Linked DNA regions of Arabidopsis thaliana. The protein of the gene in region 2 interacts with the protein of the main gene of each other region in a pairwise test. Each region holds a gene or a part of one and is shown on either strand. Other genes may lie near its edges.

Evidence for each region.
Region 1: the proteins of HSP23.6-MITO (region 2) and VPS9B interact in a two-hybrid assay, tested with the Arabidopsis thaliana proteins (one large-scale study listed by BioGRID).

Annotation. Positions count from the first base shown.
Region 1 is NC_003076.8:2,890,368-2,894,124, forward strand, and holds the start of VPS9B (vacuolar protein sorting-associated 9A-like protein), read right to left. Parts: upstream 1,728-3,757; 5' UTR 1,650-1,727; coding exon 1,567-1,649; intron 1,295-1,566; coding exon 1,147-1,294; intron 1,059-1,146; coding exon 888-1,058; intron 801-887; coding exon 621-800; intron 500-620; coding exon 1-499. Other genes in the region: NAC082 (NAC domain containing protein 82), read right to left, coding at 2,256-2,864, 3,141-3,566.
Region 2 is NC_003075.7:12,915,258-12,918,689, reverse strand, and holds HSP23.6-MITO (mitochondrion-localized small heat shock protein 23.6), read right to left. Parts: upstream 1,765-3,432; 5' UTR 1,602-1,764; coding exon 1,403-1,601; intron 1,266-1,402; coding exon 832-1,265; 3' UTR 580-831; downstream 1-579. Other genes in the region: AT4G25210 (DNA-binding storekeeper protein-related transcriptional regulator), read right to left, coding at 1-244; QWRF7 (QWRF motif protein (DUF566)), read left to right, coding at 2,689-3,381.

The sequences.
Region 1 (3,757 bases), on a different chromosome or scaffold from region 2:
TATTAAGCAAGTCTTCAACATCTCCTATCTTTAAATCACCAACACTGGCAAACATGTAAGGATATTCTTGAAATATTTTGGTTGCCTCACTTCTATCATTCAAAAGCGTAGCAGCGCCCTTATTTTCCAAATCGGTAATGGGGTCAGCTTTCTTTATTGGTGTTTCACTCAGTGTTTCATTGGTACCAGAGAAACTATCAGTTGATTTTGTATGCAGAAGCATGTTTTCCCTCTTAGTATTATGAGCAGTGGGTAATGCAGCACCGTGATCCGTTTGATAAGACTGGCTTCCCGGACCAGAAAGACGTGCATGTGCAGATTTCATTTTAGTTTCAAAGTCAGCTTCATCCATGGAGAGGGATTTTGCATCAATATTTGAGATGAATGACTCTGCAGAGAGTATGTTGGTGAATAAGTAGCCAGCTTCGCCAACCAGTTTAGATTGACGCCTATATCTTTGTATATACAACAAGTTTGAGTGAAACTGGGGAGGGTTAGCCTGGAGAAACAAAGCAAATAATGTCATTTTCAGAATCCAAGGATAAGAGTTAATATGAAGTAAACATGAGACATATTCAGAAATAGCTTTTGCTTAAATTGTACAATCCTTGACAACATACCTTAATGGTAACATATATGAGAACAGGAAGAAATTGGTCAGCTCCAGGTTCATTCTGGTTTGAAGCAATTGAAGCATTTAGAAGTAAGTTATTAATGACTTTGCAGCACCTAAGGATACACATAAGCTTATCACGAGGAGCATTGTACATATTTATCTTCTGGAGCTCTTTTTGAGCTAGCTGCCATAAAATAAGAAAAAAAAACATCACAAGTAAGAACCATTATAAGAAAACAAGCAACACTATGGAGAGATAGATGTGACTTACAAGCCAAGATGTTTGGTTTTGAAAAGTTGGTTGTATATCCAAGTTTTCAGGAGATATGAACTGTTGAACCAAGGAAATCTTCTGAAAGAGTTTCTCATCGGATATAACATCCTCGGTGTTTGATGCAAAAACCCGGGGAAATAACTTTGTCATGACATACTTCTCCAGGCCCTGTGTATACATAAATTAAGTCAAGAAAGATTATTATAGATAAATCATGAGAGAGATAAGCAGGAAAAAGGGAAGAAGAATAACTCACATCTCCCGCATTGTCTAACTCATCATCGGAACAACCAGACCAAAGTGGATGAGCCCTGAAAGCAGACTCCATCTTGTAAAAGAAGTCCTGAACTGCATCACAATCTTTTTCAGGGTCTGGTGCAGTGTTCAAGATCGAAACAATGAAACTGCAAAACATCAAAAAACGTTCACAACTCAAAAAACCAGTGGCATGTGATGTTTCCATCACAACAAAAATCTGCTTAAGTTTATAGCAAATCATCGATATCATAACATTGTCGCAAAAACGAAAAAAACTATTCATAACTACTAGAGAGCAATGTGAAATCAGCAAGATATCTTATCTTGCACACATGTAATCATAACTAGAGAGTAAATAAACCTAAAGTATACAAAAAGCGAAGAAGAGAAGCGAGAGAGAGAGAGAGAGAGAGATAACCTTTTGATTGATTTGATGAAATCTTTGGCGGAGGGTTTACTCAAGAAATTATGCAGACCCGAGACGACGTCTGTGTTCTCCATCAATCCCCCAAGATACCGTACGATCGACGACAATCAAAATTGAATTCTTTGTCAGCAAGGTTTTTAGTGGAAAGAGATCAAATCGGCTTTTTAATACACGAGATGATGAATAATGATGCGGTGGGAAAGCTAAAATATTGGGCCAACGAAATAGGATTCGAAACGAAGCCCATTTAAGCCCTACATCTACATCATCTGTTATGGTCCTAAATCTGGTACGATACTTTCTTCTTCTTATTTACTTTTTTCATTCTTCGTTTTTACTTGGAACTTTTGTTCCTCCCGATTAGTTTTTGTGTTTTTCAGTATTCATCATTAAAATTCCTTTTAGTATTAATGATATGATTTAGACAGAAGAAGTATATATACAATAATCCATAGCAAAATAGAAACAAGAATAAATGTTGAGAATACTCTGAAGAAATACGAGATTCTAAGGATGAAACAGAGAATGTTGATAGGGAAGTTTCGACACATTAAAAAGATTTTGACTAATAAAAATCATAATTCAAAGACAAGAAACAAAGGTGCTTGCTCCTCCTTCTATTCGGTCTGATTTGCATCTGTTGGATTTGTAAATCCTGCTTCTCTTCTCTTCTTCTTTTTTTACATTTTTGGTCTATGTCTCATGGAAGCAGAAAAGCCATAAGGATCATCATCATTACCACCAGAGAAGTCAAAATGGCCTTGATTATACAGAAAGGAGGAGCTTCTCGGGTCATTGCGATTCCCAGTTTGAGGATTTAATGGAGCAGTGAGGTCTTGTAGCCCAGTTTGAGGATTAAATGGAGAAGTGAGGTCATGTAGCCCAGTTTGAGGATTAAATGGAGCAGTGAGGTCTTGTAGCCCAGTTTGAGGATTAAATGGAGCAGTGAGGTCTTGTAGCCCAGTTTGATGATTAAATGGAGCAGTGTGGTCTTGTAGCCCAGTTTGAGGATTAAATGGAGCAGTGTGGTCTTGTAGCCCAGTTTGATGATTAAATGGAGCAGTGAGGTCTTGTAGCCCAGTTTGAGGATTAAATGGAGCAGTGAGGTCTTGTAGCCCAGTTTGGGGATTTAATGGAGCAGTGAGGTCTTGTAGCTCTAGGTATAACTCCGAGTTTTCAACTAGGTCGTAAGAGGCCGTCCTTGGCATGCTGCTCAACTCTGGTAGTCCGTTGAAAATGCCTTCTTCTTCTAAGCAAACTGGAGCTGAGACACCGGGATCATATCTTACCTGTAGATTGATTAAATATGAGAATGTATTTTGCAGATACAAAAGAGCACATATTGATGTTGGAGAACAAGCAGATACAAAAGAGCACATATTGATGTTGGATACTAAGATCGAAGATATAGCAAAGAAGCTTTGTCTAATGGGTAACTACTACGTTCCAATGCCACTAAAACACTTAACAGCTTTAAAGTAGCCTTGCTAGCTTAAGAACATGCAGTGACACCGGCTTGTTATCACTATACTAAGCCAAAGAAGAAGAATGCAAAAAAAAACTACCTCATTATTGTTGAACCCTAAGAACTCTTCGTCATCATCAAATAGATCCAACATTGAATATAAGTCATCATTGTTGGGGGTCTGAACGGTCTCTGCCAGAGGTGCAGTAGACATAGGAGTGGTAGCTGCATCACTTGGATGTGGAAGCTCGCTGGTGGTATTAGTTGTAGCTGGTAGGAAATCCGAGACACATGACTCTGATATCATGCCACCAAAACAATCCTTATTGGAGTCATCTGGGGCAGTCAAAGCCAGAGTGGTTTCTTTGCTAGGCTCAAGAAGGTTTGTGGGATTACTAGTAGAAGGAACATCAGTACGTACTTCCTCATCACTCCAGTCCTCTTCCTTAAACGGAGCTCCATATTGAGCTCCATTTCTAGGTCCAGGACCATCTTTCTTGAACAGAACACACACCACATAAGTATCCTGCAGTCCAAAACATAATTGTAAGTAAAGAGAGAGTGATATAAGCTTACATGGATGATACATAAATCTATAAAACTAAACAAGCAGGAAACAATATATAAGTGGAAGAAGGAAAAAATTGCAGGCAGGACAGTAACACACTATCAAAGCAATTAAGGAACAAATTAAAACGGCAAGCTATCATCAGTAAA
Region 2 (3,432 bases):
GAATTGGTTTAGTCCCAACAGGCTTCAGCTTGATCGTCTTAGCAGGCTCGGACTCGGGCTCGGGCCCAGAACTGGACTCCGATTCAGATTCGCCTTCAGAGTCAGATTCAGGCTTTTGCGAAGACTCGACTTTCTTCGGAACTTCAGCAGAAGATTCAGATTCTTCTCCAGATGAGCCAGATTCTTCTTCTTCACTGGAAACAGGAGGGCTTTCGACCACTTCCTCCGCCTTCTTCGGTGCCATCGAACAAACAGTTACGAGAGAGAGAGGAGACAGAGATCTGCGGTTCTATTTTCCCGTCGCCGTCGATTTGCTTTGCTCTTAGGTTTAGGTTAATGTCGAGGTTCTGTTTTTTGTTTTTTGCCCTACTTTTGTTTTTTTAATAAAAGTCGATCGATTCATTCAAGTTGGGCTGTCCAACGCGCTATTCTACTCGAACGGGCCTAACACTTTTACGCGTTATTAATAGACCAGTCCGTCGACAACTTACGCAGCCTCAGAATTCGTCTTAAAGTCTTCCTAGTTCCTAGTCTACAGAAAATTTTAAACCCAAATACGTTCCATAAGCTCCAGTCTCATAACCACAAAGGCATGTAAACCGACCGAGTTAGCTAAAAGAATACACGATTAGGAACTTATTTAATTAGTGCTTTGATTTGGAATGCAAATTTTGGTTTAAGCAAGACAAAAAACCACCGTCTCAAGAAAGAAACATATAACCTTTTAGTCTTTAGAGACTACATGACTCAACATCGACCGTGCCAAACTACACACACTTCTTATTCAAAGACCTATCAACAAAACTAGAACAGAAAAAAACGTCGACGTTTTTAGTTGATCTCGATCTGACGAACATCATTTCTCTCTTGTTCTTTCATCTTCGGGATCACAACTTTCAACACTCCGTTCTTCATCTCCGCCTTAATCTCATCGATCTTGTAAATCTTATCCGGTAATCCAATCCTGCTTGTGAATCTCCGATTACCGCTCTCTCCTTCCTCGCCACCATCTTCCTCGTTTTTTCCTTCTCCTCTAATCACCAGAGTGTCCTGCTCCAAAGCCAGCTTCACATCCTCTCTGCTCAGCCCAGGCATGTCGATTCTCAGGTACAGAGCATCGTCTTTCTCTTTTATATCCCAACCACGACGAGCTCCTGAAGCTCCCATGCCACGAGTAGCTGATAACAGAGGATTCTCCATGAACTGGTCCATCAGATTCAGCACTTGACTAACGCTCCTCGTCGGCGAAAACGGATCAAACACATCTACACAAAGACACAATCAATCATGTCAAGATTTTGAGCTCAGTGTAAGCTAATACCTGTTTTCTTACTAGATTTTCGCTACGTTAACAACAGAGAGACATAGATCTGGAGGAAAAGCGAAACAATTGGTTTGTTACCTGAGAAGAAATCACCACGGCGGCGAGGAACAGAGCGGCGATATAAATCAACGCCGTCTCCATTTTCGCCGTCGTCGTCGTAGCTCCTAACGGCGTTGGTGTTGAAGAGGCGAGAGGAAACAGCTGGACGAAGAACACTACGGGAACGTGGAGCGATGGAGGATGATAGGAGTCTCTTAAGAGCGAGAGCAGATGCCATTTGTAGAGAAACAGGAAGCTTTGTTGAGAAAGTTTTAACAGTGAGTTTAGTATTTATCTGAGAACTGTGTGCGACGAAACTGGAGACAGGGGAGGACTATATACAGGAGTTAAGTGTTGAAGGTGGGATATTGTCAGTGAGTGAATGTTCTGGAGAAGTGGGGAGATTGATATTTCTCTGGATGTTTCTAGAGATCCGTGGCTCCCAAGCTAAGTGAAACAAATATAAATTGTCTTGTTTATTAACGGGCTACGGCCCATCGGTATTAGGCCTGTTTTAGTAGATTTATGGTCAACAAGTCAAATGACCCTAGAACATGGTACATGAATGAAAAGGACCAAAATGTGGACAGAAATCAACCAAAGGCCGAGGCGGCCACCAACCACCGAACGTGGGAAGGTCTGGTTCGGGCAAACATTCGAAAAGACCAAGAAGACTCGGATAAACAATTAAAAAAATCAGATATTGGAGAAGGCAAATATATATTGGTGTTGAGGTCAAGACTTAGAGTTTTGACGTTATTTAAAAAAAAATATTTTTGGGTAAAGACTAAAGAGTTTGACGCTATCTTGAGGTTTATTTATTCAACGTAGACTATATACTATGGGGCCGTTCTGAATTGGACCTTTTAAGTTTTGATTTTATTAAAACGCCATGTTGTTTAGTCGAGAGATAAACAAAAGACGTGTCTCTAGCTAAGCTGACCTTCATATATGCTTTGACATAATACATTAATTATAATCTCTCTTTTTGGTGTGTGTAAAAAATACACTCTATATTTTATTATGTAGACACACTACATGCAGAAGTGTTCTTACCTCTGCCTCTACGTGCTGTCAACTCCTACAGATCTTCAAGTACCCCAACCGTTATCTAACAGATTAAATATAATATACCCCTAACTATATTATATATCACAATTGTTCAAACCAGTGTATATAGACTAGACGATTCCTTGAACCATATAATTCCAGCTTTACTATAAGAGTCTTAAGGACAGGGGCAAGTGAGTCGAGAAACGAAACCGAATATAAGTCTTGTATGATATAGTCATATAGTTAACCGTCGTCATATATTAAAGAAGAAAATGGCAACCACCGGTCGGAGACTCCGTCCTCCATCGCCCAATAATAACCGGAGCCGGACTATAAGCTCTTCAATCTCTCTCCCAGTGTCCTTAAACGCCTCGTTATCGTCTTCTACTTCTTCATCTTCTTCCTCTTCGCCTTCCAATTCAAGCAAACGAGTGATGATAACCAGATCACAGTCCACAACAAGATCCTCCAGACCCATCGGATCATCCGACTCTAAATCCGGCGAGAACATAATCCCGGCGAGAAACAGCGCATCAAGATCTCAAGAGATAAACAACGGTAGAAGCAGAGAGTCGTTTGCTCGGTACTTGGAGCAACGTACGCGTGGTAGTCCTCGTAGTAACGCTTCATCGAGAGGGGTAAAGCCGGGAGCCAGCTCACCATCGGCGTGGGCGTTGTCTCCTGGAAGACTTTCGACTATGAAGACGCCTCTGTCCAGCTCAGCTCCGACGACTTCAATGTGCATGACGCCGCCTGAGTCACCCGTAAGCAAGGCCAAGATAAGAAGCGGTGGCGGTGGAGCGGTGGCAGGAGTTTTGAAGTACTTCATGGCGCAGAAGAAAGTATCTCCGGTACAAGAGGAGGATTATCACCGGTTTAGGATTTTTCAAAACAGATTACTTCAATGGAGGTTTGTTAACGCAAGAACTGAAGCCACTATGGCAAACCTTAAGATCAACGTTGAGGTACAAAAACTATATGAAAAATATTTAAATTTGTATCTTATAAATATCTAT